4 linked regions of the Alligator mississippiensis genome follow. The protein of the gene in region 1 interacts with the protein of each later gene in a pairwise test. Links are inferred from orthologs where the notes say so. Each region holds a gene or a part of one and is shown in the gene's direction. Other genes may lie near its edges. The genes, in order: ATOSB, DNAJA3, FHL5 and KIF20A.

Region 1 (7,887 bases):
GAATTGGAAACAGGACAGAGCTCCCCAGCCAAGGGTTTGCCCTCTCAGGCACCAGCATTTGCCCTGGGTCAGAGCCAAGGTGCAAGGTGAGGTCGAGCCTGCACGTAGGATGCCTGCCCGTGGATTTCGGTCCCAGGGTGAGACCTTGGGACGAAGGATGCTCGCCAGGTGTAGCACCGTGCATGGTGTTGAGAACAGCTGAGGTCTGCCTGCTCGGCCGGTGCGGTTCGTGGAGCGATCCAGTATGATTTGGAGATGATTTGGCTGATTTGACCTGGAACGTGGAAAAAAAATGTGTGCTTCTGCTGCTTGGGCACAGGAGGGCAGCAGGTCTCTTCCCTGCGTGGGCTAAGCGCTGCCAAGCTGCGTGCGCAGAGGGGAGATCCTTAAAGCCAGTCGCCTGGGGCTTAACCCCTGAGCCCTGCGCCCAGCCAGGCCCTGGGTCTGGCTTCCCAGCCCCCTTCTGTAGGGTGCCTGGGGCAGGATCGAGGAGGCAGCGTGCTCCAGAGGGTAGAGCACCACCCTGGGACTTGAGCTGACAGTGGGGAGGCTTTCGAGGACGTCACTGCTCCTGGGTGCCTCAGTTTCCCCCTCTGTGAAAACGATGCTGACCTGCTAAGCGAGGTGCCCGGAGGTCTGCGGATAGCGTGGGGTGCTGCGATTCACAGGCAGGGGCTCTTCAGAGATGGGCCAGACCCTGAGGAGCAAACGCAGGGCAGGGAAGGGGCTGCAGCCAGCTCACACCTGCCCCAGAGGCCCCCACAGAGCTGAGGACGAGCTTCCCCCTCCCTTCCCAGGAGCAAATCCAGGCACCCCTGCTCGGTGCAGACCTGGGGCAACGATAGCCCACTGCCCCGGGGCCTGCCAGGGGCTGCTGCCACTGTCCCTGTGCAGATGCAGGGACCCCCAGCCCCAGCACCCGCCCAAGGGGACACAGATCCCAGCCCCTGGTGCTCGGTGCTATGACACGAGCATCAGGTGCTGCCCAGGGAAGTCACCGCGAGGGGCACGTTCCCCGAGCAGGGCTTGCCTTCCAGAGCGCTCCCCGTGCAGCTCTGCACAGCCAGAGACGGACTCTATCAATGCACTGCAATACATCCGTCTCCAGAGAGCGTCCAGACAGTACGGGACAGCGCAGCATTGCATGAGCAGCTACGGACCGTGACACGAATCGTACTCCAGGGGTGGCCAGACTGCAAGGACCAAGTGTCCCCCTACGAGCTGCAGGTCGTCACACCTGGGAGTGCGGCACTGGGCAGGGCGGGGACGGCCTGGGTTCACCATAAAAGCGCTGCAGCCAAACAGGCAAAGCAAGCAGGAGGCAGGCTCCAGCCCCAGCGCCTTGCCCTCCAGCTCAGGGAGGGAAACCGGGGCCCGGGGGCTGCCCTTCTCTCTCTCCAGGTGTGTCCGAGCCACGCAGGTGGCTCTGCGCTTTGTCCGAGCGTGCGGCGGAGTCGTTCCAGTGCTGGAGACCTCGCGGGAAAGCAGCCTGTTCCCTTGTGGACAACGCTGCGGAGAAGAAGATGGAGAGAAGTGAGGCAGCTGCATCCCTTCTCCCCTCGGGGAGGGATAAGACCCAGACTTCAGTGAGCCTGGAACTGGAGCAAGGGGGTGCGAGCACGACGCGGATGGGAGAGTGCCTGGCGGGGCATTGCTTGTGCCCGCAGCTCCTTTATACCAGTGCTCCTGCCCGTGGTAGGGTGCTACCCATGGACCAACCCCAACCCAGGGGGTTTATTTAACCGGCACATCGGCAGCAGGAGGCCAGGCCGAAGGGACAGGCCACGGTGGGCTCTGCCCTCTTTACAGCTCGTGGTCAAGTGCTTCTCGGCAGCCCTCTTGCCCCACGTCTCGTGGGCCACTGCATCCAGGGAGGAGGGCAAGCTGCAAAACTGGCTGAGCAGCTCGTGCCCCACCCCAAGGAGAGGCCGCGGCAGCTCCCTGCGCGTGCTCACACTCACCCCGGGGTGACCTTGCTGGGGCAGCCAGCCAAACGTGCCCGTCCGAGGGAAGCCCCAAGGGCCACGCAGCCCAGAAACAGGCCACGTCACCAGCCCACGCCCCCGTTTGCAAGGGGACACTCCTGGGGTCCGTGCAGCTACCCCTCTGGAGCTGCTGTGAGGCTTTATGCCATGCCCCCTCCCCTTCCTGGGCTCCCTCCCAGAGGTTTGCAAGCCCCACATGGGTGCCTCGTAGTAGGCAGCACATGTCCAGCCGCCACCCTGCACTCAGGGACGGGGAAACAACAGCTCTAAGACAAAGCGGGGAGGTGGTCTGCAGAGGGGCCATCACATCCCGGTGCCCCAGCCCTGCTTTGTTGGACAGAGCAGCTGGCAGTGCCACGGAGCAGCGCCACGCCAGCGCATCCCAGCGTCCACCAGCCCCAGCAGCACCGAGGCCACTTGCGGCGGGTGTCGCACACCCTCCCCTGCCCACGCAGCAAACAGCCACGGGCTGCTGCAGGGGAGGACGGAGACATGCTTGGGTCCCCCAGCGGGCTGGGCTGCGATGGACACAGGGGTCCCAATGTCTAGGCGAGGACGACGCCCTCCCTCATGGGCTCCATACGGCAGCTACTCGCAGCAGAAAGCAGGGCAGATGTGCACCTTGTAGGTGAACCAAAGCGTGTCTGTATCTGTATCTATAACCATGTATAGATACAGAATACAGATAAGGAGTAGACACGGACGTGCAAGGGTCCAAGAAAAGGAAGACTCCACACACAGCCAGCTTCAGATACAGGTTTCCTTCCTACTCATACAGGTTTTGAGTATCCACAGTTAATATTCTAGATACCATTTTGGCAACCACGGTATACAGTTTGGAGTAACCACGGTTTTCTGTGGCTGCGCATCAGCCCGCCGCCTGCCATTTCTCCCATAAGCCTTTTGTCTTGCCAACCACGGGAACTTTCAGAAACTTAAGCCCAGCGTTTGGCGAGGGAAACCTATATTTAAATCCATATTCATATAGTCTAATATTATAAAAGCCTTAGTCTGTCTGTCTGTCCATAACGCTTTATTCGCACTCTGATTGGTTGTCTGAAACAACCAATCAGAGTGCTCCAAGAGTGTTCCGGACAGGAGGTGGCGGTGCGGCGGAGCGCCGATGACAGCAGGGACAGAGCAGCTGGATTGGGGGCACCGCCCCCCCCCCCAGCCCTGCTCCCTACAGGCGGTGGCGGCATGGGGTGCTGGCCGAGGGGGCGGAGGGGGACGGCGGGGCAAGCTAATCCGCCGGCTCCTGGGAGACAGCAGCGGTGCGGGGTGGTGGGTGGCAGCGCTCCAACCCTGACCTCCCTCCCCCGTCATTCCTGATGGGCAATTGGCTAGTACAGAGATACATACACACCGTGTATATAGATCTCCGCGGTAAAGCGTCACCATCTACACGTGCGCCACGATTAGGATGCACGAAAGCAATCCACTCCGCCGTGGGATAGTACCGTCCAGGACGAGCACTATCCTACAGTGGAGTAATTTACTTCACCTGCATGCACGTGTAGACGGTGACCGGGGTTGGCGGGGGCATCGGGGTGCTACAGTGTGGGAGCTGACTGGCGTCTAGCCCCCACCATAGCACCCTTGTGCCCCAGCCAGCCCCTCCGCTGCCCGCTGCTGCCACCCACAGCTCGCCCCACGGACCCCCTGCCAGCCTAGGGCTGCTCGCCCTGGCTCAAACTGCTGCGGTCCCCGGCACACGTGCAGACGGCGTACCTAGGAGCGGCTGACTCTGGTGTGAACTGCACCCCAGTTTATTTCTGCTAATTGCACATGCAATGCACCCGCCGACACCACATTTGGGTCAGGAAGGAATTTCCCCCGCTGGTCACAATGGTACAGACTGGGGGGTTGTCTTCTTTTGCAGTGGGGGTCTCTGGAGCATCTATGAACCCCTTTGCAGCAGCAGGACATTGGAGGCGGTGGCCCCCCTGTTTTCCCTGGGGCAGGGTCGGGGGTGATGGGGCTGTGTCAGGGGTGAGGGTAGTTTTGCTGAACAATGTTTTATTCTTATCTGTACAGGGGAGGGGAGGGCAGGGGAGGGGAGGCAGCGCCTCGTTTGCTGCAGGCCAGCTCCCTGGAGCCGCTTACCTCCCTACAGGGCTGTGAAGAGCCCAGAAGGCAACCTCGCCTTAATCGAATCGATCGATCGATCTATTTATCTGTCTCTCGGTACCTCCACCTCTGCATCCCTGTGACTGTTTATGAATCGACATCATCTCTGTACGTCTATAGGCGACTGTGCACCTACCTGGCTATGCCGTCTCCACCTCTGCAGGTGCGTGTAGAGATACAGAGCTATCTAGCGCTGAGGCCTAGATGGAGCTGGAGGCCATATATCAATGATATAGGTGGGTAGGTAGGTAGGTATATACTCATATATAGGGACAGAGACAGAGACGTGGCGCTGGAGATGATAAAGGTAGATGTATAATCATCTGTAGCGCTAGTGATGATATACATGACATAGAAATATCATATTACATATGTATAATGTATCATCTGTAGGTATATAGTATATATAAATATATATATTCTATATTTTATATCTACCTTTATGTATTTGATGTGTATTTTATTCAATATAATTGATCTGTATCTCTATATCGCCGTGTGTACCCCCATGCAGAGATACAGACAGATGCATGGGGGGAGGGGTCAGAGGTGAAGGGTCACGTTGAAACTCGGGGTCCTCTGCGGCCACCTCGGCCCCGCCCCTCCCCTCCATGCAGCCAATCAGCGGCCGCCGCCCCTGGGCCCCGCCCCTCCGCGCTGTCATCACACAGCCGCACGTGGAGGGGGCGGGCCGGCGCTCTCCCCCCATTGGCTGCGGCCTCACCGGCCCGCCAATGAGCGGCAGGGGGCGGGGCCGCGGCGGGAGGCGGACCCGGAAGCGGCGGCAGGAGGTGGCGAGCGGCTGCGGGCGCCGGTGGGTGCCGGCGGGGCCCGCCCCGTGTGGCTGCGCGGCCGCTTGTATGGCCGTGCCCCGTGACGTCTGTGGCGTCATGGATGTGACGTATGCCGCGGGGGTCTCCCTTCGGGGTGCGCGTTCGAGTGGGGGGCCGCGGCAGAGCCCCCGGGGACGGGGAACTACCAGTCCCAGCATGCATCGCGCCTCCCCTGCCTTGCAGCAGCCGGCGCGCGCCGCGGTGCACGCTGGGACTTGTAGTCCACGGGCTGCCGGGCTCCATGGGGTCCCAACCCCCCCCCCCCCCCCCCCCCCCCCGGCGCTTCTCCCGGGTTTCGTGCCCTGAGCTCTCCCTCCGGGGCGCCGGGCCCCTCTCCCGCACTTGCATGACTGGAGCGGTGCCCCCTTTCCCCGACGCCCCGACCCGGGGCTGGTGCTTGTGCGCTGCGTTGCCCTGCCCGTCTCTTTGCACCCTGCAGAGACGCCCAGCCCCCCCCGCCCCCCCCGGGAGTCGGCAGCGTTGAGGGTTGAACGTCAGCGTGGGTGGTTACGGTGCCCCCGGGCACGGTCTGAGAGAGGCGTGCGCCGCGGTGCCCCCCAAGCCCCTTCCCCCTGCTCCCGCGGGCCGTGGGGCGGATCCGGGGGTGCCGCGCCTGCCGGGGAGTTTGGGGGCAGGAGGGAGCCGAGGCTGTGGTGGGTGTGGGTGTGGGTGTGGGAAGGACTTTGCCGGTGTTTCCTGCCTCTGCCATCCTTTTCCTTCTCTTTCCAGCGCTGTCTGCGGATCTGATTCCTGCAGGTAAGAGCAGGACTTGCCTTTAACTATGTGGGTCTGTCGGGCTGGGGCTGGCCCAGCCAGCCGAAACTGCCTGTACTGGTGGGGAGGTGGGATCTTTCTCCTCCAGGTCACGCGTTCAGACTCTGCTTCGGCTGGTGGTGCCGTGGAGCTGTCACCAGCTGAGCGGTGATTGGAACCAGGACGTGGAAATGTGTCCCCTGGTGATTTCCGAGGGGCCTGTGGAGGCTGCGCCAGGCCCTTGAAGCGGGGCGCTCCAGACAGGCTCAGGGCAAGAGTGCACCGGGAAGTTTGTCTTGGTAGATAACATCCTCCAGGCTGCCGGGCTCTTCGGCCCCCACCCCTGCCACGGGAAACTGCTGCGGGGGGGACGTGTGCATCGACGCCCCCGGGGGCTGGAATGGTAGCACTGAAGGGGCAGGCTTTTAAGCAGGGTTGGACTGTGGCGATCCAGGAAATGCACAAGAAGCAGTGGTTTGGAGGGATACTGCACCGGCTTTTGGGCACAAAGTGCTCTTCTTCACCCAGAAGCTCAGTTCTGTAAAGCTATTTATACAGGTAGTAGCGCCGATAAATGCTTTGTGGACTCTTCAGAAGCTCCTAAATAGGTTCCCAGTGCCCTGAGTAACTCAGTGGGGCTGGGGCACCTGGGGGGTCTTTGAAAATCACTGTAAGTGCCTAAATACCTTGTTAAAATTGGGCTGGAAAAATCCAGTGGGTCCCATTTCCCGTAGGACTTGACTTAACTCGTGAGACCCGAGTTTCAGGAGCGGGAGATGCATCATTCTGTCCCCTGCCGTGTGTGTGTGACTGATACAGTAGTGTCCAAATGTGAGAGGTTTTATATATGCGTGTGTGTATGTGTATACACAGCCTCTCGTATTTGGACACTACTGTATCAGTCACGTGTGTGTGTATGTATATATATTGTGTGTATGTGTATTTTTTATCATAGCACCTTTTTAAATATGTAAAGATATCACTGGTGATGCCTTTCCAGTGCACCCTGCTGAGAACTGCAGTGCAGACCTGGGTCTGCTTTTAACATATTTGACTGAGCCTGCGCTGTCCTTGGGGACGAAGAGGCAGTGAAATGTGGGGGCCAGCTGTGTCAGGAGGAAACCCTGAATGCGGAGAGGGGCTGAGCCCCTGGGGATTGTCAGCTTGTGCGTGTGCAGAAAGGGAGCAGCCTGGGTTGTGGCAAGCTGAGGAGAGCATGTTCCAGATCCAGGGGCGCTAAGGTGCCAGCCTTTGCCTGCGCCATTGAACCTGGGCTGGGGTCCTGGAACGCTGTGCTCAGGGTTTCCTCGCTGGAGCTAGACAGGAGCCATTTGCCTGTTTGGCTCCCATGTTGCCAGGCTCTAATGTGGTGCGTTATAAAGGGCTTTGGGTCGGGAGGATTAAGGCGGCTCATGATGGAAATGAGGTTTTTCAGCCTCGTTCCAGCTCGCAGGACAGCAGCAAAGCTAGGTCTGTTGTAGCAGGGCCCTGTGTCTTGCAAGAGGCCCTGTGGAAAACTACCAGTCCCAGCATGCAATGCTGCTCCCCTGTATTTGAGCAGCTGGCCCAGGCACCGTTGCATGCTGGGACCTGTAGTGCCTTGCAAGCCACAGTTCCACCCTAAGGGGAGGGCAGCCCCCCATTGTGCGAGGAGCTGGGGGGTCAGAGCACTGCTCCGTTCCAGCAGGGACGACGTGCAGTCGAAGGTCTGGCAGCTCTCCTCTTCCTGGCCCGGCCTCAGAGAGTGGACGGCATCCAGTCGCCCCACAGGGCTGCGGACAGACCAGCAAAAGCAGCTGGTTTTGCTCCATCTGGATGGGGAGCACAGTGCCACATCCATCCATGCCTCTGTGAAGCTAAGAAGGGTGCGGGGTCAGGGGAGATGCCTCCCCGTGCTTGGCCTGCTCTCAGAAACCTCCTGGCCTGGCCCATCCTGGCTCTGGCACACGCCAGAGCCTGCGCTGCTGCACAAACCCGTCAGCTGGAGCTTCTCCCCGGTGCCTGCTTTGTCCAGGGCCCGGTTGCGGCTGCGTTGCAGCTTGTCGCTGACTCAGCTTGTTTCTCTTCCCCTTTCAGGGAGGCTCCTTTCCCGCTGTCATGGGAGCGCTGCTCTGAGCCTGCAGTTCCCAGACACCTTCCGGCTGCTGGCAGACCTGTAATGCCTGAGTCTGCAGGGAGAGAGAAAC
Region 2 (7,442 bases), on another chromosome or scaffold:
AGCTTTTGCCAGGCGCCTAGCACCGGCCACTACTGCTTATCATGAGCAGAGCTGCCTCTCTGTATATCCCCCTCCCCAAAAAACTGTCCTGTACCTCCAGCACAGTGCCACAGCTTACACCAGCTCCTGGCCCATGCGCCAGAAGCAATGCTGGGCAGGCACTGGCATCAGCTGTGGACACAGGCAGCAGCTTCCCCCTGGGGACTGGGGGAAGCTTCTCCTTGGGGTAGAATGGCAGCTGGACACTGAACCTGCTGCCCACACCCACACCATCTCCCTTCCTCCCCTCCCCCTCTGCAGACCCATTCCACATAGGGAAGCTTGGTGAGCTATTGCAGGGTGGGGCGCTAACCTCCTCTGCAACAGGTCCCCAAAACTCCCTAGATGGCCCTCGGCCCCAAATTGCCCACCCCTGCACTAGATCCTAGAAGAGGGGATCCAGCATTCTGCCCAAGGTCTAAAAAAGCTGTGTGCTTTCATCAACAGGAAGAGGAGTAGCAATTCCCAGTGGTGACAAGGAGCGGTGCCAGGAGCAGCACCAGTGGAGCAGAGAACCTCAGATGTGGTGAGGAGTGGCAGTAGCAACTGTTGAGCAGTTATCCTCTGTCAGAGTACCAGTTACACTAAGGAGAGGAGAGGGGAAAGATTGGGGACAGCAGCTACCTTGTCTGCCCTAGCTACCAAGTTGTCCCTGCATGGAACTAGGGGAGAAATCTGGTCCTACTGACTGTGATATACTATGAAAACTTAGTTGGGATAGACTACAGACCATTACGGTCTTCTCCAAGATTGCTTATAAGTCTCACTTTTATGAGACCCTATGTAACTGTAAGTTTGCTACTGCTTGCAAGTTGGAGGTGTGTTCACACTGGAGGTACCAAGCAGCATTTTTTTCTTCAGGTTTCTGGGTGGGGGCTTGAGCTAAGTTGGATAATGTGTGTCAAAAGACAACCATCTAAATTTGACCCATGCTGTTGCCATCCACTGCCTAGCAGAAGGGTTACACTGGCAAACTAAAGTGTCCCCCATATTTAGCTGTTTTCTGAAAAGCTACTTCATTTGCAGGAGCAAATGTGATGCCCTTTGACTATCTCACAGAGCCAGAAGGAAATTATTTCAAAGGGTCAGACAGACATACTATATAGTTTTTCCAACCCAGCTTGCAGGCCTGGTATTCTAAAGATGTTTTGATCAAGAAGGACTGAGCAGGAGTCTTTGACCAGTGTAAGCCTTGAGCTGGCTAAGAGCAGAAGCACTATTTCCTTCCTGTGAGGGGTTAGGCTTTGCTGGCACTAGGAGACAAGGCTAAGCTAGCATCTCAAACCAATACTGCCCCACCACAAGCCGGGCTCCAACTGCCTCCTCACAGATAGACAGGGATATAGAAGATAAAGTGGTTTTTGATGGGGAGTTTTTTTTTCTGTTTTCAAGAGCCACCAGCCTCCCTAAGAGATAGTGTGTGCAGGTGGAGCATGAGGCCTTTGTGTAGCCAGCCCCCAGGCTCTGAGGGTCTCCACCTATTGCTCAGCCCACTCTGGTCTAGGGAGTTGTATGTGTGCCCCGCTACCCAAAAAAAGAAAAAAGGGCTCAGACCTGGTTTGGGGCCTCTAGGGGCTCAGCACAGCTGGAGTGGCAGTCACAGGCCCCAGCTCTGATGGGCTGGGTGTGAGGCTGGGCCAGGCCAGGCCCCTACTTTCCTCAGATCACTCCTCTCTGGGCCTAGCGGCTGCACTCTCAAACCTGGCTCCTGGGATAGAGTTTACCTCTTTGACCCAACTGGGCCACCAGCCATCACCATTACCCTACCAAGCATGCTCAAGAAGGTGTCACTGATTGTCCCCAAGAGGGATGCATTTTGAAAAAAAAAACCCTTGTACAGTACCGAACGGTTATACTGGGATTTCAAGTCCTTCCATGTTGGGATGATCCTGGTAGGTTCCTGCATCTTGCCCACATGACAAGCAGGCCCTTCCCAGCAGCTTAGTCCAAGGTGAAAACAGCTCATTCTCTGCAGATGAGTCCAACCTAGGAAATAATGTGCTCAGCAAAACCTGAACTTGCTGCAGGGGAGAGAGGAGAGGGCACTTTGTATCTACAGAATGGGCAAGCTGCTCCGCTAATAACCCTGGGAGTGGAAAAGTCCCTCTGCTCTTTCCTTGCCCTACAGTTAGCCAGTGCCCCTGCCTGAGGTAGATCATTGCTGGTGCCCTCTAGAAGGGAGAGGTCCCTACTCTATTCCCCACCCTCTGAACTAGCCAATCCCTATGCCTCCACCCATTCTTCAAGGAAAAAAGTGAGGAAAAGACAGCAATAAAAACCATGTTTCATATGAGAGAGTCCTTACAGTAGGACCTCCCTGCCCTGAGACATGTTATATTGGCAGGTATTTATACAGATTTCCCTTGATTTATGCAACAGATGCCTTCCCAGGGAACAGTGCATAAATCAAATTCACATAAAGCAAACCCAATTTACAATGAAACAGATAGGGATGACACTGGAGATTCCAGGTACCTTAGTTCTGCTTCCAGCTTTAACTTGCTGTGTGACCTGGATGTATTACTTTGGACTAAACTATTAAAAGGATCTCAGCCTGGCATCTGTTACAATTAACATTTAGACATCTACCTACCAGACATGCAGTTTGCTACTTACTTGGAAATGACCTTTGGTAACCACAAGGTCGGCAACTGCAAAGTTACTGTTAAAAAATGAAGTTATTAAAAAAAATATCAGGCTTGCTTTGTGCCTGAGTTTCCCCATCTGTAAAACAGGGATATGCCTACTTTCTTGGAATATTAAGATAACTAACTAGTTCATGTCTACTGCTCTGAGATTCTCTGATGAAGGTTCTTTAGGAATTCAGATCATAAGTACAGTTGCTTCAATACTGCCCATACCCACTTAAACATGTGAAGCAAGACTCCACACAGATGTTGATAGTCCCAAAATCCTACTCTCACACTACCCACATTTAATATTAGGATATCATATACCTTATCTCTTCACCAACTGCTTATCATCACTTCCCACGTGTACCTATGGGGATGGGAGAAACATAACATGGCTTCTTTTCAGTTACTTAAAGGTAGTCTTTCTAATTAAGAAGTGCATGTTCCCCTCAGCTGTGTACTTGTCATGAATCCACCTCTATTTCTAAATGTGCATTCTCTGCTCTTAAAGAGTAGCAATGATTTCTTAGGATGATATATTTTATTGGATCAGCTGTGTAGTTGTGAGTCAGACAAGCTTTTAAATGCAAGACATTCTTCATCAGCCCTGATCAGAACAAGCCAGGCACAGCCATGTAAGCTTAAGAAATTGTTACGGTATAGTCTGGCTTCTTTTTTCTTTAGGTTGTGGATTTTCCATTTTAAGTGTCAGATTTCAATGTCTTCCATGTCGTGGTAGTGTAAGAGCGATGGCATAGCCATGATGGTTCAGAAATGACATGATCTTTCACTACCATAACATGGAAAACAACATAATCTACTGCTTAACAATGCAAAATCTATAACCTAAGAAAAAAGAAGCCAGACTGCATTTCGTAATGTTTTGCGCATGAAGGCTCAGAAATAGACATAGCCAGTTGGAATGTGATCTCCTGGATCCAGGACCGGACAGAGCAAATAGCTGCACTTAATGTACCTCCAGTGCTTTGATAATGGCCTCGCCCTTCCCCTGGGGCAGGAGGTGAGCCAAGGGCAGAAGGGAGAGAGAGCTCCAGCATCTGCTAAAGTTGCGTGTGTCCCAGGTGCACAAGTGCAGGCTGAGCAGGCATGTTGTACAGCACAGACCCATTTTGCACCTGATGTTAAACTGACATAGTCTTCTACAAATGGCTTGTTTCCTTGGACTTCAGGGAGCTCAAAGCAGATGCAGCACCTGGACTAATGGACCACAAATAAAGGATTTTTATAAAAAACACAAGTCAAATGTCTAGTTGCTGTTTTAAAAAGGAAATGGGCAGAAAGCAAGCGCAGCTCCAGCCTGCCACAAAAAGGCCTCTCAGGTAGCAAGAGGGAGAAAGTGACAATCCGAGATTGGGGATGAGAAAGCCTGCGGCCAGCACGATCCGCCGGGTCTATTTGCCCGGGCAGAAGCTGAAGGCAGCGCGTCTCGCTGGGCAGGGTAGACAGTGGCACCTTCAAGCGGCCTGGGCCGCATCGCGTGGCGCCGCGGCACGCTCAGGGCAGGAGGAGCGGCCCGGGCACGAGGCAGCTGTTAAAAATACGGGGCCAACAGGAGACGCGGAAACACCGGCTTCTCCACGAGGGGACGGACGGGCGCGACGAACCCCCCCCGCAGCCCAGCCCCCTTTGCTGCGGCACGGAAGCATGCGCAGTGCTCGCCGCGCGCGGCCGGGCAAAGCTTGCGCGCAGGCGCAGTGCTCCGCGCCTTGGCCCGCGTGCGCCGGGCCGGAGGGCGCAGGCGCAGCGCGGCGCACGGGCCAAGATGGCGGCCGGCTGCTCCCCGCGCTGGCTGAGCGCCGCGGCCACCGGCCTCGGGGGGGTCCGGGGCGCCGGCAGGACCGCGCGGCTGGTGCTGCTGCGGCTCAGCCGGGGACTCAGCGCCGCCCCCGCCGCCGCCTTCCCCGCCCGGGCGGGGGCCGGGAGCCGCCTGCTGACGTTGAGAGCCGGGGTCAGCCCCGCGGGTGAGCGCCGGGCCGGGCGGGGGCTCCGCGAGGCCGTCGCCGCGGTGGGGGCTGGCTCCGCGCGGCCCGGGGGAGAGGGCGCCGGGGGCTCTGCCTGCCGTGCTGACGGTGGAGGCACGTGGGAGGCGGCCTGGCCCGGCCCTCAAGTCACGGCCTCTGCGTCCGCCTCCGTGCGGGTGTTCGGCGGCAGCAGGGCCCGGAGACGCTGTGCCGCTGCCAGCTGGGGAGGAGGCTGCCCCAGGCGGGAGTGCTCGGCCCTCTCCTGCAGCGCGGTGCGGGCCGTGTCTCCCTCTGCCCCGCGCTGGCTGGAAGCCTCGGAAGGGCCGACGTGCACGAGCCCATCCTTGAGTGCTGTAAATAAGCGGGAGCCTGTTGGACTGGCGCCATGTGCCGTCTCAGCAAATTCCAGATCAGCTTTAAGCCCCTGTTCCTCATCCTCACATCCTCCCGTTTTAGAGCCTGGCCTGTGTGAGGCCCACCCCAAAGCTGCCTACCCACGCAGTTAGTGTTGAAGACACCAACGATGCAGTTAGTGTTGTCCGGGTTAGAGGGAAGGTGGGGCAGACTTATGTTTTATAGGCTAGATAAATCAAAGATGTATAGCACAAGTCCTACAGGCTAGCAGGGTCAGCTGTCCTTCTCTGTCCAAGGTCAAGCCATTGGGAGCCAGGTAAATTAATCCCACCATTTCAATTCCTTCTTTTTTTTTCAGGGGGTCAAAATGAGTTTTCATCTTGCTCATTTTAGAGGACAGGGCAAACCTCTTTGCCTCTATTGAGCAAGATCTGCCTTGACAAAATGGAGGGAAATTTCATCTCTTAGATCTTATTTTGTGAAGAATAATGGAATTAAGATATGAAATTATTTGACTGCTCTGCTTTTACCTGCAGAATGCTTCTAAAGCTGCATTAAAATCTCTTCATGTTTTCAAGAGTCTGGGGAAGAGTAAATGCTTGCTTCTCTTAAAGTTAGTTGCATGTCTCCTGTAACTTCACTGTTACAGGTTTTAGTCTTACCTTAAAACTATAAAATGCTAGAAAATTAATTGAATATTACTCCATGGTATCTCATGATTTAAGCTCTGTGAAAAGTAGAATGGCTTCTTTGTCACACCACCACATATCTACTGTCTGCTGTGATCAGAAGTTGGCCACATACAGGGATGTTGCTAAAAAAAATTGTGAATGAAATCTTAAATTGTGTCAGAATTCTCCCTATAATTATTGCATTGGTTGTTGGCACCCATCACTATCTTAAAGGCGTGGTAATTTTAGCTCTGGTATATATATATTTTTCTAAATAAAATTTCTTTTTTGCACGTACCAAATTAAGCATCCTGTGTAAGCTTCAATACATTTTACAATCTTCAGTTAAATTGAAGTTAAAAAAGTAGAAGCTGTTTTTGATTAAGAAATGGTTTCTAAAAAACCCCTCATATTTATTTACCTTTTACAGATGGAGTATTCCATGCAGTTTTTCAGTGTAACTGTCTTGATTATTAATACAGGTTTCCCTCACTTTATGTGGGTTCTGTACATGCAAATTTGCTCTTATGTGATGACCCATTTTATACCAAAAATGTGTTATATGCGAGGTAAATTTATTCTTATGTGATTGGCGTGGTGGAAGCCCAGTCAGCTGCTTTGTGTGGTGCATTGTGGGAGTGACCCACTCCAAAATATAGTCTCTTGTGTGGATCTTTGCTCCTCACTCATTGTCTACGACATGCGTTTCTGTAGTTGCCATCCCCATTATGATTATGCCCTGTGCTTGTGTGTACTGTCTGCTGTAGGTGAGTACCAAAATTACCTTGTAAAAGTGGTAGAAATGGGTCTGGTGGTCAGTAAGTCGAGGTATTAGAATGTATCCCTATTTGTTACATTGTAAAGTCGGTTCTCTTTATGCGAATTTGAGTTATGCACCATTTTCCAGGAACACATGTTACAGTATAAAGCGGGGGAAACCTGTACACAAGAGCAGGCCGTGAAGCACCAGGAAAGGTTCTGCGGAAGGTCTGTGGTTTCTTACAATTTGTCTTGTTTTGACTTTTTTTTCTTTTCTGTCTGGCTTTTCTTAGGAACTAAAAATTATCCTTTAATATGCAATGCCTTGTTTCATACTGGTTCCTCCTCTTGCACCAAAGAAGATTATTACCAGATACTGGGAGTTCCTCGAACTGCTACCCAAAAGGAGATCAAGAAAGCCTATTACCAGGCATGTATGCTAAAGAAAAATGAAAATGGTTTAATTTCATGATTGACTTCGTGTTTTGAATTTTGTCTTGTTGGGGAGAGTGTATTATGACCCACTTTTTACTCTTACCTGAAATATACCAAAGTAAAAACTTCCAAGTACTGTCATGCTAGTGATTTTTTTTTTTTCCTTGCATGGTGGAACGAGGCCGATAATATATTAAAGGAAGTTCAGTGCCATCAGATAGATTCAACACAGTCGTCCCTGGTTAAATATATTATTTTGGGCAGTGGCCAGTATCTTTTACATCAGGGAAGGCAAAAGCCACAAAACTCATAAATATTAGTAAAATGCTGATTTTTATTTTTGGTATCTTTCTGTGGCCTTTCTTTTTGCGTTCTTTAAATTTTTTTTATACTTAAAAACCTCTAAAAATAAGCTTTCAGAGTCATTGGTAGCAAGATTATAGTTATGGTTCACTCTTGTCATTATGCATATTAAGAGCATTCTTGGTGAGCCAGGCCCTGCGTGCAATGGATAGGTGTTGATTGGCTGGCTCATGTGGAAAAGCTTTGTGATGCTTCTTTTATTATGT
Region 3 (7,278 bases), on another chromosome or scaffold:
GGTTGCAAGGCAGCAGTTCTGTTCCCAATCTCCACTCTTACCCCACTCACTCTGCACTCTCCACAAAATGTTTGAGGGGATTGTCTGCACTTTATAAAAAAAGAATGTGAATCAAGGAAGCAGAGGTGCACCAATACATGGGTCCGATATTGGATCGGCACTGTTATAGAGAAAATTGACTGCATCGGAAATTGGCCTGATGTGGCCAATAATGTGGCCAATAAATGCCCCATGCATGCGTGCAGCCATAGTGCAGCACATAGCACAGCTCAGCAGTATGGAGAGCTGTGTCCAGCTGGTAAGTCTGTTGTGGTGGAAGGGAAGGGGGGAAAGAAGAGACTTGGGGGTGGGGGTAGATCAATGCCTCCACAGTGAGGGAGGGAGTGAGGCTGGGGCTGCACAGCCGTGGCAGGGCTCAGGATGGAGCCATGGTTCATCGGGGGGCAGGGCAGCGCCTGCCACTGTGTGCACCCTGGTGGGGAGGCATGTGCCTCCCAGATCTAGGCAGAGCAGGCTGCAGCTGTGGACTGGGGCCAGAGCTGCTCTGGGGTCTTCCTGGCAGGGGCTGGGCCAGCCTGCACCCAGGGAAGGTCGGGGTGACTGGCAGCACTGGGAGGGGGCGTTGAGGCTGTGGTGAATGGGGTGGCTGCAGCCCCCCACCGCCCCCATAGCTGGCCTCCCAGCACTGCCACTGCTGCCTGCCCCAAGCGCATCCCAGCCCAGCCCCTTCCAGGAAGAGCCTGTATGTGCTGCTCCCAAGTTGTCGGCCTGTTGTCAGCCATCCTTTGGCATGGACTAACATCCCTGTGACTGACCTCATCACAGATTTGCTTTAGGCAATTCTTTCAATAATAACTTAGGAATTAATTTAAAGTACAATTGACCAGCCTCCGCTGGTATAGACTTGTGGCTATCGGTTCTTGCCATACTCTGAGTGGGAATTCTTAGTGCCTTGCTGTGCCCCCAGGTACCCACCCAGCCAGCCACCGCTCCTGGCCTCGATGCTGCTTGGGACTTCATGTTCTGCCTCATCACTAGGGCTTCAGCCCTCCTAGGGTCTACTCTCACCCCAATGGATCACTTCCGAGCTCTGACTAGCCTCAGGTCCAGTTGGGGCTTCCCTGCTAGGCCTGGCATTGCCTCCTGGCTTCCGTCCCCACTCTTCCCCACTGGGTACCTCTGGGCTCCAATGCTGCCCGTCCAGTTGGAGCTCTGAGCCCTTCTCCCTCCAGTTCTTCACCAGGGTGCACAGCTGGCTCAGCTCTCTGGGCAAGCCACATGTGTCTTCCCAGCCATCCTTCACCAGGGTGCACAGCTGGCTCAGCTTTTCTGGTGAGCCACGTGCAGCTGCCCAGCTGCTCTTTACTGGGGCGTGCCAATGGCTCTGCTCTCCATGCGAGGCTTCCTGGCTCTGCCTCATCTCCTCCAGCTCCTCCGATCTTCGCAGCCACTCTGCCCAGCTGCTCCCTGGCTCGCTGCTAGCCCCTCTCCAGGCTGACGTCCTGCTGCAGCTTCCCCTTCCCAGCAAGCCACGCTGAGGCTCTCTGCCTTGGCTCTTCCCTCTGTGGCATTTCCCCAACGCTTTCCCCGACGCTTCCTCTCCCAGCGTGCCCTCTCTCAGTCCTTTTCCAGCCCCTTCACTCCCCGGGCCCTTTTCGCACCCTGATCTTCAGGCTTAGGCTGATCTTGAACTGCCACCCTGGGGCCAGCCTCTCTCTCCCTGCAGTGAGAGAAGAGGATCGTGGAGAAAAACCCGGTCAGCAGTCTCCTGCCCCTTCCCAGATATCATTTCTTGCCTGCACAGCTATGACTTGCCACTTGAGGCTTGATGGGTGGGGGGGTATGGCTACGAGCCAGGATGCCTGGACTCTTATCCCTGTTCTGTGGGGGAGGGAGAGGGGCTGGAAGCAGTGCTTCCTGGGATGCTGGAGGACTGTAACTTGGTTGTTTGAATTCCATGGAGCAGACTAGGAGCTAACATGAGCTAGGTTGCATGGCCCAGAGATGCTTGGACTGCACTTAAAAATTGATGAGCTTTAAAGTGCAAATGCTCGCATTTTTAAATGCTGTTATTACGGTTTATGACTAAGGTGTAACGTCACCTTGATTAAAGCAAAGTCGTAGACAAAAACACTGGTCATCTGAAACTTCCGGATAATTAGAAGGTTTGACTGTAGAAAATAGACGTTTTTCTTTCTCATACTTAAGACTATTTTCCCCACCCAAGTATAATCTGAAAAACATTTCCAGGATCTAATTGGGTAAAGGTATCTAGTGGGGTTCTTATGGGGTCTGGTACTGTTCAATATCTTCATTTATGATTTGGAAGCTGGGGTTGAATGTACACTTAGTAAATATGCAGGTGACACCAAGCTGGGGAGAGTGAATTTTGCACTTTGGAAAATAGAATTAGGATTCAGAATGTCCTTGATTAATTGGAGAAATGGTCCAAAATTAATCAAATGAAATTCTATAAGTCTTGCACTTAAATCAGAACAATTAAATGTGCTAATAGGGACTGGGGAATGACTGCAGTACTGCAGAAAAGAACTACGGTGGTTATAGTGGACTGCAAGCTAAATATGAGCCAAAAGCTTGTTCTTTTTGCTAAAAAATCCAATAGCATACTGGGTTGTGTTAACAGGAATGTTACCCCACCCGCAAGTCAAGGGAAGAGACTCCTCCATTCTGTTCAGCACTGATTGAGTACTGTATCTAGTTCTGGGCACCACATTTGAAGAAAAATGTGAACAAACTGAAAAGGGTCCAGCAAACGTCATTAGAAGATCAGAAGTATTCAACAAAAATGATTACAAACTAGGAAACATGACTTACAAAAACAAAAATGTTGGAAAAATTGGAATTGTTTGCTAACTGTTAGTAAAAAGACTAATGGTTATTATACATGGTGAGAAACTTACTTCCTGTGGTATTTCATTCTATACATGGCAAGAACATAGTGTATGGGTATATCTACACATTGCCTTCCGGCACCGTAGTGATCACGCAGGGCTACACATGATCGCCAGCTACATCGCCGTAGTGACCTGCTCCCCCAGTATAGTGTGCTGCTACGGCAATGGAACAGCAAAATCTAACCATGTACTTCACGCATGGTAGCAATGTCACCATATGGCAACACATAGACATGCCCTTTGTGTGTTACTTTGATTGGTATTGGGTTTCTGACAAAGTGATTTGGATGATAATTTGCTGCATTTTTACTTGGCAATTTTTGGAGTATAATCTTAAGTATCTGGTAACATTTCTTTAGAAGTGACAACTAATCATCATCTAAGATGTACTAAATGCTTTTGTTTAAAGAAAGGTGAGATGCATGTATTTGTTGTGGCTGTCTCATAAAACAGGGCTCCTGCTCCGTGAAACATTAGCTACCAAACCTGATGTAGCCCTTCAATATATTGTTGTATTAGTGGTGCACAGAGGGCCTGATGATGTAAAGTTGAGTTGTTCAAGCCATAACTGAACCACTGTTTAATTTCACTCTGGTTTTAATGGATACAATATTCCTGGTGAATCCATACTGGTGGTTCCTGATCCTCTTGTTCTCCTCTAGGTTCCTCACAATAGATGAATTTTTCCTCCAGTGAAGTTCAACCAAGTCCCCACACAAAATGGGGACTTTTGCTGCCCAGTGTCTGCAGGAGACTTTCCATTCAGGTTGTTCACTTTATCAAATGCTGGGAAAATTGCCCTTTACACATTTTAAGTATGAGAGCATTGAGAGGACAGAAAGGAGCCATTAGTTCTTGTGACTGGAATGGTTGTTGTTGCCTCTGTCCAGTAACTTTTGAATACAAGATCCACATCAAACTGGAATAGTAATGCCAGTGGTTCTGTACTGAAAGACTGGAGTTTTTGTCTCATCCTGCTCTGCCCCTTCCTGACAAATCCAATTCAGAACACCCCAAAGATCGAGGAGGGGGTGTGGGGAGTTTTGAGTTTCACTTCCCAATCAAGTCCCATGGAAATACTGCTGAAAGTCAATATACAATGGTTAAAGAATGAATAGGTTCAGTTTCTTTTGCAATGGTCGTTTTTTTCGGTTTTGTTTTGTGGGGGGAAAAGAGATATGTGGGAGTGGGGGAAGCAGAGGTTTTGTCCAAGTGCTTTTTCTTTGAAAAAGTTCTCAAAACTCATTCTGAGACTTGCTCCTTTAAGAACATTGTACATGATATATATTTTTCTACAGTGTGTGAGCATACTATGTCAAAGAATTGTTTTGATTTCAGAGCTGAGGGAGCCAGCTATCTGCATGTCACAAGGTCTAAGGGAAACGAGCTGACCCTCAGCCTACTTCCACCGAGCCAAATTCTGATGGGATTCTTAAATAGCTTTGGCAAACAATTCTGTTTCTTTTGGACTTGATGAATGTTTCTGAAAACATCTTATTTTTCTTCCTTTATTTTGCTACACGGTCACCAACAGAAGCAGCTTGAAATCAAATGTAAGTATTGTATCTCCTTTCTCTTACCCCTGTTTTATTTGAGAACATTTTGAAATGCCAGGGTACCAGGTGACCAATGAACAGTTTATGAACAGCTAAGCAAGAATTTCTCTTTACACATGACTTCTAATTTCATCTTTGATTCTGAATAGACTGTTTTAATTAATTACAGTGACTTAACGAAGATAAAGGCATATGCTATATATATCAAAAAGTAGATTTTTCCTGAATTTTTCCTTTAAAATGCACCTTCTTCAAATTTCCTGCAGTTGTGTGAAAATTTTAACAGTTTTCTTAAGATATACCAAGAAGAGGCTCCAACATTTGTTTGAAAGTTTAATCATATCCATGCTATTAATTAGATTATTAATTACTATCGTTTTTTGTTTTTTTTAAAAGAGCAACTAGACCTTACCATCATCTCTTCAGGAAATTAACAAAATGTATGTTTGTTTTCTCATAGAATTGGGACAATGTGTGTTGGATATTTATCTACCATTGGGGGAGAGCTCTCAAATGTCCCTTTAAATTTCATACAGATTTAGAATTTAAAGGATTACAATTAGGTTGAAGAGATGTATCGGTGCATAAAAAAAAGTTTTGCATTTATGGATAAAAAGATGGAAATTATCCATAATTGAAGGACAATACAATATAAAATCGGTGCTACCTGATTTCATATAGGTAGTAGAGAGCACTATGTTTGGTGCTATGTTCATATAGGTAACAGAGAGTCATTTTTCCTTTTGAATACAAGACCAAAATCGTACTTAATAGTTTTATTAAACACAATTTATATTGTAATCACAAATATATTCTGAAGTATACTATTTTATAGCTTTCTCTATTTTCAACATATTTGTTATACACTCTGAAGCTCCAACTTCTACTAGTTGAAAGCGAGAAAATTGCAGGGCTTTTGAAGGAGCGACGGATCAGTTTTGACCCATGGTATCTCAAGGTTATTTGTAGGCAAAGTTTGAGGAATACTTTTGATAGATATCATAAATCCCTTAAGATGTCCTCTTGCCCACATGCCGGTAAAGCCAGCTTTCTTTACAATTTATTTTCTGCTGTTACGGTTTAATTTTAAAAGCTGAAGTCTGTGTAAATAGCAAAAGATGGGGTCAAATTTACTTTTTGTGAGTATTTCCCTGTCAGTTTTCTGAGAGGTGCCACATAGAGAAATTCTAAGAATTCAATCTCTTCCAGTCTAGTTATATATGCTTCATAGTTCTTGTGGAGCCCCCAACACTTTGGCTGTGATGGACATGGAAAACTAACTAACATGATGCCTCTTGTGGGCATGATGCCTCTTGACTCAGCACAGGGGTGCACAGAGTATAAAGTAAAGCACCGTTTACTTTGGGGGGGGGTTACGTCTGCAAGCAGGCTTTGTAAATAGGAATAATGAAATGCCACTTATGTTCCATTTTTTTATTTGCATTTATTAGGAAGTGGTCATCCAGATCTGTGGATGTGGCTTTGAAAATCTCAGTCCATTTATCTTATAGACTTTTTTCCATTAGGGAGGGTTTGATATAATAGGAATTAAATTAATAGGATTCTTCGGAAATTGAACAGCACTGCACAAAAGCTGCTTCAAAAATACAGGAAATCTAATGGAAAATGATAAAAAATCTCTCTCATAGCTCTTTCATGTATACAATTTTATAAAACTATAAGATGACTGACAAAGTAGTGGCTCGTCCCACCTCATTGTTTCCAGTGCTAAGGCTTTTCTTTGATTCCTGATAATCTGACTTCAGAAATTTCCCTCCATGTATTTCTTGGTCTGGCTTGGCTTTTGCAACTCTTTGCCCTGAAGCTGTTTTAATGTTTCCTGTGTCAGGTTCTTTTTTATTTCAGTTTCTTTTTGTTCCCCCATTATTCTAGTCATGGTACTTCCAGTAGTTCTCATGAAATATATATCAATGTCCTTCACAATCTTATCTCTTCTAGCCACCTACTCATCCTGTTAATTAATTTGTACACAAAACACTTTGGATAATTTATCATCAGTTAAAACGTAGTTGTACATGCATGCTAAATTGCAATGGAATTTGCTCCAGTTATGCCATCGGAAGAACTTGTCAGGCTAAGTAGACACTCTTCAGCTTTAAAGGTATTAATCTAAGCCATCCATAGCATCTGTCATGATAGATGATGCTTACAAAGCATTGGACACTTCTCAGCTTTTCTTAACGTAGACAATCCATTATCTTGCTGAATTATCTGCTATTTTGGGTGCATGTAAGTGTGCACCCAAGCAAGTTTCATATTATGCATAATGTTAGCCATATTTTAACATTAGCATATGGTTTAACACGGCTAATGTTAGCTTTGTTAAACCATAACTACTGGCTTATCAAGTTAATAAGTGGAACATTTTAGTGCACCAGCTCTTTACCAGATCATACTACCCAATGCAATAATAATTCAGTGATATCAGTAGTCATCCATACATTTTTAAACACCCAAGGGCTTTAAAATGATTGTAATGTTAAGTCTTAATTTGTAGTTACTACATTAAGTCTGGTGTATTTTCCTCCTTTTATCACAGACTTTCAAGCAGGATCTTGCCCTAGTCATTTCACTGTTTGCATGACCTATCTGTAAGATAAAGATTTTGCAGCATCCTCCTCTGTAAAATGAAAGTAATATTTGTCTCACAAGGAGATGATGAAGAGTAGTTTATTAATAATTTATAAAGTGCATTGGAATCAAAGGCTTGGAGCTGAAGCATGGAAGTACTAAGCATAGTAAGTCCTGTAAACAAGCCAGCTGTGATCCTTTAATTGGCCTGAAGA
Region 4 (7,749 bases), on another chromosome or scaffold:
ATTGCTAATCCCTACTGAGTAATTGCTAATACCTTGCCTTCAAACCTCTCCACAACCTTCCAGGGCACTGGTTCCATGCTTGAACTGTCCTAAGAGCTATGAAGCAGATCAAATTTGGAGAACAACTTTTCCCTGTGGGAGATTCAAGCAATAATCTAAATTTTGCCCGCAGTGACTAGTAACTCAACCCTGACCCCTCTAACATCTCTTTACAGACTAGTGTCTTGCTTCCTTTTTCCTTTCATTCAGAAAGAAGAAATCCAACTTTCCACCTTGCCTTGAGACCCATGTGCTAAGACCTTTATTCAGTTCACTCCCTTCTTTATAGATTCATAGATGTTAGGGTTGGAAGGGACCTCAATAGATCATCGAGTCCGACCCCCAACTGTCCGACTTTAAACTGTCTTCATTTTGTCTCCTTGCACTCTGGCACTGAAAACTGAGTGCTCCCCTCTCTATGACACCCGTGCGCCAAAGAAAAGAGACACCCTTGGTCCTTTTGCCTTCAGATTAGATCTGGAATCAGCTTTAAATTTGTCCCAAATGTTTTTTCTCAGTAGCAGCTCCTGTGTGGGGAGGAACAAGCAAGCAAAGTCCCACCTTACCCTGATAAGCAGCATCAGTAGCCTTCTTCTTCACCTCTGCCTCCTCCTCTTCCATTTTTTTCTTCCTGCACAAAGAAACAGGGTCCATGGTCACACAAATCCACCTGGTGCCACCCCATAAGCAGCAGGTCAAACACCCACATCCTTGATCTGTCTTTGCTAGCTAAGGTTCAATTAAGGGCATTGCATCCATCCAGCTTAGTTGCTTTTCTTAAGCCTTGCAACAGAGTGGCAAGAGAGAGAAGACTAATTCTCAGAGCCCTTGGGCATGGCTATCTCATGGGAAAGTGCAATAAAAAAATAGTAAGATAACAACCTACATCATAATCTCGTTGCACAGGTCCTCCAGCCTGTTATCCATGTGCCCAGTCTGAATCAGCTCTGCATCTTTCTTCAGTTGCCTACAAACAGACAGAACTACCTCAGCTATTTTACAACTAACTGCTCCAAAGAGGTAGTTAACCCCATTAGTCTGAAGATAGGCAGAAGGCATGGCAGGGTGGTACCCTAGAAATTAAAAAGAGTCTTTAAGGTGTCACTTGACCCTACACCTTCTGCACAGCTGCTCCAAGCGAGCCTCCTGTTCCCTACAATTTTCCCTGCCAGACCTCCTCCTTCAGAGCAGTGAGAGTTACACAGACTTGCAGACAATACCTACCTGTACTTCTCCTGTGTCTCCTTTATCATTTTCTTCAACTCCTCAACTCTTTCTGCTGTCAGTTTCCTCACAATGACATCTTCCACCGTTTCCACCACCTCCCCCTTCTCACCGCGCTTTCTCCTACAGAACAAGGGCCAGAAAACAAACATAGGCACCAATCACAGGAACCTCCCCAGTCCTCCTGAAAACAGCACCAGCTGCCCTGGCATCTGTCACATCTGTACCTTCTCCCCCCTCACCTTTTCCCAGCACTAATACTGGAACTCACATTGCAAAAATCACTTTCTCTTGAAAAGTCTGCCTAGCCAGATTCCCTTCTGACAGCAGTTTAGGTGGTGTGGAAAAAACCCATAACAGACAATTCTACACTAACTTTTTCACAGAGCAAATGCCTTTCTCTACTCATACGAAACACGTGTGGTTACTAACCTAGGCCAGGAGTGTTTGCATTCCTGTCAAATTTTTACCCTCGTTAATTCAACTTTGGAAAAAGACTTTTACTATCCATGCCTACGTATAAATCCATCTCAGAAGCCCATGTCAGTCATTTATGCACAGCAGAGACATAAATACTACTTTCAAACACTACAAATTTCCTTAGGCATCAATTACCAACACCAGTGCCCAGATTCAGAGCAAGAGATGAACACTACAGCTTTCACTGGTACAAAGCTAGTGTCCAGGAGAAGAATAGGGTTTCATTTGCCCCTCCCTAAACAATCCTCAAATACTGCAGGTACATAAAAGGCAACATAAAATATTAGCTCTCCTGCTCATCATTCTTACTAGCTTCTATTCTCCCAAATTTTCAGTATTCTGAGCTGTAATTTTAAGCACACAATTTTTGTTTTATAAGTTTAATTTGTTTCATTTTAAGATCTGCTGTATAAAAAAGAACAAAGCTATTTTAGTATGCAATCTATGTCCTTTTAAAAGTAAGTTATTTTTAAAAAAGCAGCATTTTTATAGAAATTACCACACACTATGTTGCCTCTCTAGCTTCCTCAAACCAGCAAGCTGAGAGCTGTGCTGGGAACTGCAGCCTAGATGCCTCAATACCTGTAACCCACTGGTTCAGGGATGAGTACAGGAGTGGTGTGAATGAGCACTCAGGATAGCACAATGACCAGTTCTAGAACCACTTACATTTGAAATGGTCCAGTCCTTTGAGCTAAGTAACAAAACATACAAAAATGAGCAAAACGCTCTAGGTAATATTACCTACCCAGCATCTCCTGTTAGGTTAGGGGGTAATTTCAAACAACGGCCCTACTCTGCTCACTTTCCACACCCACACAGTGTGACCAGATTTCTCTGCCGTGCCTGCGCCTCCTTGCTCAGTAGCAGCCAATGCACTGTCTGATGCACTGATGACACCTCCGCCCCGCCAGAGGTACTGCAGACACCACATGCCTCAGCCTTTGCACTCACTTGGGAGTCTCTGTGGTCTCCAGGAGTTCCGAATACTGAGATGCGCAGTGCTAAGGAGAAACAGAGGGAGTCAGAGCACACAGAACAGTCAACACAGCCAATTCAGTTTATTGGCAAAGCTCTTGGGTTCCCTCCTCTAACAGCCAGGTAGCCTTTGAGCATGTTTTCATGTTTCCCATACTAGTACTGTAGCAGGAAAATACTGCCACAGTACTAGTATGGGAAGCTGCAGTGACTTCCCAAGCTGCTGTGTACCCAATGCATCTATAAGGAGGGTCAGCTAGCACCACAGAGTCAGCTCTGTAATGCCAAATAAAAACTAGGAAAGAATAAATTAAATTAAAAAGGTGGCCCCACAAATTAACACGTCCTCCCCTGGTTTTCCAAGATCCTGATCTTTGAACAGTCATACTCCAAAATATCAGTGCTAGTAATAGAACAGGTTGAATACAACATGATGCTTAAAATTACAAATCTAAACTATGATTTCAAATCAACAACCAAAAATCTTTGATTTAAATAATAAATTATAATCCCATTTTGCATTTATATCGTTTAGCTATTCGCACTGAATGAGCTGAATAAGTGAAATAGAAAAAACACCTCTTTTCATCTGCAGAAGACTTGTGCAACAGTTTGGCTGGCGCTGCAATAGACTCAAGGCCAGGTGCTCAGACAGTGACTTCCACAAATTTAGGGGTGTTGGACCTAGCCGCGTTGGTCTAAGGACACTGGAGGTCAAGGCTCGTTGGGTAAATCCAATATCACTCCACCCAGGAAGAGCACAGACCATCTGCGGATGCTTCCTCAGCCTGACAAAGGGTGTTTGTGCCCAAAAGCTGGCTTAGAAGAATGTTTCCAACTACTTGAGTTGGTCTGATGAGAGATATCGCATTTATCCAAAGACTCGTCTCCCACAAATTTAGCAATTTTGCTTTCTTTGAAGTTTGGTAGCATGCGTGTAATGTGTTAGCTCTGTCTAATACCCTTTTATCAAATTATATCAAGTTTAGACCATAAAACAATATACTTTGTTTTATTTTCACATATGCTTTCATATAAATTTTAGTTTTAGAGAAAAACGAAGCAAAGCTGTTTGACGTTTAAATTAAAAGTCTTATTTAACGTTTTAAGTGGCCACTTTTCTACCCCTCTACTTGGCCGAAACTGGAGTCCCTTGAGCAAGAGCTCCCCGGCAGCGGGAAGTGCCTCCGCCTCCCCCTTACCTTCTGAGAGAACCAGTCAGGTGGGCGGCCCGGCTCGGCAAAGGGCTTGATGGCCCTGCTGACTGACACCCTGCGGGGGAGAGAAGCGGGTGAAGCCCTGCCTCCTGCCCTCGCCAGCGCCCGCTCAAGCCACACCGGGCTGCTCCCGCCGAGCTGACGCCGCTGCGACGCCTGAACAGCTTCCCTGCTCGCGGCGGCGCCGCCTGGCCAGCGCCCAAGCGCAGCCCGAGCACGGCTGATGGCTCGTGCACCGGCCCGCGCAAACAGAGCCAGGATTCAAGTCCTGCTGAACGGCAGCGACAAGCCAGGCCCTCGCCTCGCTTGTCCCGCAGCCCGGCTCCGTCCCCGTCCCCATCCCCGCAGCCGGCACCACCGCGACGACGGCCCAACCCCCGCCGCGCCGCGGCTCTCACCAGTTCTGGTCGCCGCTCCGCATGACGGAGGAGGCCAGGCACAGCTTCTCGCGGACGGACCACGGCTCCGTGGGGCCGGCGCTCAGCAGCTTGTGCTCTGCGGGGACGGACGGGCCTCTCAGGGGCGGGCGGGCAGGGCCTGCCCCCCCTCGGCTCCCCCAGCCCCGCCCGCCAACTCCCCGCTCCGCCCCGGGCCGCCCCGGCCCGTCCCCGGCCCCACGGCACTCACTGCCCGTGCCCGCCGCCATCTTCGCCGCCAGGCCCGGGCCAGAGGCGGGGCCCACCGCAAAGGTCGCCGGGAAGCGGCGCGCGGGCTGCCGGGAAGGCTGCCCGGCCCCGCCCCCAGCCTCTCTCTGGCCGGCGGCTCGGAGCGCGCGCTGATTGGCCGGCGGCTCGGAGCGCGCGCTGATTGGCCGGCGGCTCGGAGCGCGCGGTTTGAAACCACAGCACCCGCTGCTGCCCCCGAGGTCAGCGTGGCCCGGCCCGGGCCGGGGGGAGGGGGCGGCTTCACTGCCTCAGCGCAGCCTGAAGGACGGCCGGCCGGCCGGCCGGGGGCCGAGGAGGCTGTTGCCGACCGACCCGCCCGCCCTCCCGCCCGCTCTCTCTCGCAGGCCCCGCCATGGCGCAGGCCGCGCTGTCGCCGCTCGCTCCCGCGCTGTTCTCGGACGAGGAGGCCGCGTCGTCCCCGGTGCTCGAGTCTACGGCGGCCGAGCTGGGCCGGGCCGCGCGCCGGGACCTGCTCTCCGACTTCTCCGCCATCTGGCCCGCCGCGGCGGGCGGCCCGCAGGTGAGGGGGGCGGGGCCGGGGCCGGGCGGCGCTCGCGGGCCTCACCCGGGGCCGTGTGTGACCCCCGCTCTCCGCAGGCGGACCCCGAGGACGGTGCCAGGCTGAGGGTGCACCTGCGGGTCCGGCCTCTGACGCCGGCCGAGCTGGAGAAGCGGGAGGACCAGGTGAGGCGGGGGCGGCGGCTTTGGGGGGGGAGGGCCCCCGCCCCCCGCCCCCCGCCCCGGCTGAGGCTCCGCACTCCTCAGGGCTGCGTCTGCATCGAGAGCCCGGAGACGCTGCTCCTGCGGGCGCCCGCGGACTCCTTCGCCATGCGCAGCACGGAGCGCGGCGTGGGCCAGGCGGCGCACAGGTTCACCTTCACGCAGGTAGGTGGGTGCCCGTGGGCGCGGCGCGGCACGGCGGCCCTGCCGTTCACGCAGCTTTGCGCTGACGGCACCGGGGCCGCCCGCACCAGCCCCTGGTGTCTCCCTTCCCCCGCCCCGTCCCTGCGTCCGTCTGCTGCGCGTTGTCTCGTGCTCGCGGAGCAGGAGCCCTCGTCTTGCTGTCTGTCCGGTCGGCGCCCGGCGCAGCTGGCCCCCGGGCACGTCTAGCGCTCCTAGGATTATGTGGATGGAGCAGCCTGGGCCGGCTCTGCCGGGGTTCGGGTGGGGTCGGAGGTGGGTGGCAGTCCAGGACGAGCAGGGCTGCAGCAGGCCGGAGAGGGAAGTCCCGCGCACGCCCCTGTGATCATGTTTGCAGATCTTCGGCCCAGACGTCGGACAAAAGACGTTCTTTGACGCGACCATGAAGGAGCTGGTGCAGGATGTGCTGAACGGGCAAAACTGGCTGGTTTATACCTATGGCATCACCAACTCGGGGAAGACTCACACCATCCAGGGTGAGCGAGGCATCAGGTGTTGGCATACCTGGTCTCCTCGGAGGGAAGAAGTGCTGCTGTGTTGTGACTGAGCTCTGCTCACTGCTGTCCTCTCCTCCAGGGAGCAGCAAGGACGGTGGGATTCTGCCCCGCTCCCTAGCACTCATCTTCAATAGCGTGGGAGAGCAGCTCTACCGAGCCATGGATCTCAAGCCCTCGCTCTCCAGCGAGGTGGCCTGGCTAGACAGCCGGCAGGTTCAACAAGAAGAGACCAAGAAGCTGGCCTTGCTGCACGGGGGATTACGGGAGGTGAGTGCTCTTCTCCGTCCGCTGGGGAAGGACGAGGGTGCCCTGCACCAGCCTCACGTTCTGCCTGTTTCCTAGGAGCTGCTGACTCCACTGAAGAGGAGCCACAACACCGAGTCCCAGCTCCAGGCTGCCACTAGCAGCAGTTATGACAGTGGAGTGGGTGGCCTCTCGTCTACCAGCCAATTTGCCAACCACTCCGAGAGCAGCCAGCTGGACAGTATGTCTGGGACCCTACTGTGCCGGGGGAAGGGCAAGTCCTGGGTAGGAGGGGATGAAGCACACTTTGGGCAGGGGTAGAAACTCTCCCTTGTCTCCTCCAATCTGCTGGGGCTGCTGCAATCCCTACCACCCCCTCTGATTCTCCTCTGAAACCTAGGGTCTCGCTGGGCTGATCCAGACTGTGTCTCGCTCCATGCCTCGGGAGACGTGCAGTTCTCCATATGGGTCTCCTTTTTTGAGATTTACAACGAACAGATCTACGACTTGCTAGAGCCGGCTCTGCCTGGCCCGAACCGCAAGAGGCAGACGCTGCGGCTGTGTGAAGACCCGAGCGGCAATCCCTATGTCAAAGGTAGAAACTGACCCAGCAGCACTCTGGGGAAGGACCCTGCTGGATCATTCTCTCTCCTTCAGGAGACAGTAGTAACCTGGGGTGGATAAGAGAAATGTCGAGTGGCCAGGAGCGCCCATGGAAAGCAAGCAGTAGTAGGGGGAGGGATACTGCTCTAGGGCAGCAGCTCTCAACCTTTTTTGTACCAGGACCCATTTGTGAACATCAGCGGCCAGTCCTGCCCCAGTGCCTCTCACTCTTGACCTGCTAGGCCCCAGCCCCCCTGTGTGTGGGTTATGGGGGGCGGAAGGGGGGTGGGGCATGGTGGGAGAGACCCAAACAGCTCCTCATAGGTTGAAACTCTGCAAGGGAAAAGCCACAATTTCCTGCATTTTTCTTGTGGGAAAAGGAGAATCCATTTTTTAAGTCTGTTTGTGACCCTTTTGAGATATTCTTGTGATCCACTTTTGGGTCTCGACCCATGGGTTGAGAAACGCTGCCCTAGGGCATTTTTATACACAGTCAGCAGTTCCCTTCTGCTGAACTTGGGCTGGTATCCCTCAGGAGGCCCAAACAATGCAGGGAAGTTCAGCTTGGCTGTTGGCAGCAGTGAAGCCTAGGATGCGGTAGGTAGCCAGGGCCTGGGAAGGCAAACCACGTCTATCTGTACCACTTTCCCACCTGTCTGCTCTTTCAGATCTGAACTGGATCCACGTCCAAGATGCCGACGAGGCCTGGAAGCTCCTGAAGCTGGGTCAGAAAAACCAGAGCTTTGCCAGCACTCACCTGAACCAGAACTCCAGCCGCAGGTTGGGGGCAGGGAGAGGAGAGGAATGGTCTCCAGCAGGTTGTGGCGGGGAGGGCTCATTTTATGGAACTAGGTGCTGGACTGGTGCCAGAGGTGGTCGTTG

What was found.
Region 2: the proteins of ATOSB (region 1) and DNAJA3 interact in binary tests that used the Homo sapiens proteins (3 or more experiments, as listed by UniProt). The link is inferred for Alligator mississippiensis from reciprocal best matches to the Homo sapiens genes ATOSB and DNAJA3.
Region 3: the proteins of ATOSB (region 1) and FHL5 interact in binary tests that used the Homo sapiens proteins (3 or more experiments, as listed by UniProt). The two-hybrid records come from large-scale screens. The link is inferred for Alligator mississippiensis from reciprocal best matches to the Homo sapiens genes ATOSB and FHL5.
Region 4: the proteins of ATOSB (region 1) and KIF20A interact in binary tests that used the Homo sapiens proteins (3 or more experiments, as listed by UniProt). The two-hybrid records come from large-scale screens. The link is inferred for Alligator mississippiensis from reciprocal best matches to the Homo sapiens genes ATOSB and KIF20A.

The regions. Positions count from the first base shown.
Region 1 is NC_081826.1:301,003,476-301,011,362, reverse strand, and holds the start of ATOSB (atos homolog protein B), read left to right. Parts: upstream 1-4,872; 5' UTR 4,873-4,929; intron 4,930-4,938; exon of another isoform or gene 4,939-5,016; intron 5,017-5,677; 5' UTR 5,678-5,704; intron 5,705-7,887. UniProt on the Homo sapiens protein: Transcription regulator that may syncronize transcriptional and translational programs.
Region 2 is NC_081836.1:25,253,426-25,260,867, forward strand, and holds the start of DNAJA3 (dnaJ homolog subfamily A member 3, mitochondrial), read left to right. Parts: upstream 1-4,440; 5' UTR 4,441-4,455; coding exon 4,456-4,654; intron 4,655-6,731; coding exon 6,732-6,868; intron 6,869-7,442. UniProt on the Homo sapiens protein: Modulates apoptotic signal transduction or effector structures within the mitochondrial matrix. Affect cytochrome C release from the mitochondria and caspase 3 activation, but not caspase 8 activation.
Region 3 is NC_081824.1:82,616,213-82,623,490, forward strand, and holds the start of FHL5 (four and a half LIM domains protein 5), read left to right. Parts: upstream 1-4,272; 5' UTR 4,273-4,468; intron 4,469-7,278. UniProt on the Homo sapiens protein: May be involved in the regulation of spermatogenesis. Stimulates CREM transcriptional activity in a phosphorylation-independent manner.
Region 4 is NC_081832.1:79,521,972-79,529,720, forward strand, and holds the start of KIF20A (kinesin-like protein KIF20A), read left to right. Parts: upstream 1-4,738; 5' UTR 4,739-4,803; intron 4,804-4,836; exon of another isoform or gene 4,837-4,947; 5' UTR 4,948-4,955; coding exon 4,956-5,123; intron 5,124-5,200; coding exon 5,201-5,287; intron 5,288-5,368; coding exon 5,369-5,488; intron 5,489-5,861; coding exon 5,862-6,000; intron 6,001-6,100; coding exon 6,101-6,288; intron 6,289-6,363; coding exon 6,364-6,505; intron 6,506-6,664; coding exon 6,665-6,859; intron 6,860-7,535; coding exon 7,536-7,647; intron 7,648-7,749. Other genes in the region: BRD8 (bromodomain-containing protein 8), read right to left, coding at 606-670, 926-1,006, 1,264-1,386, 2,698-2,747, 3,924-3,993, 4,337-4,433, 4,566-4,584. UniProt on the Homo sapiens protein: Mitotic kinesin required for chromosome passenger complex (CPC)-mediated cytokinesis. Following phosphorylation by PLK1, involved in recruitment of PLK1 to the central spindle. Interacts with guanosine triphosphate (GTP)-bound forms of RAB6A and RAB6B.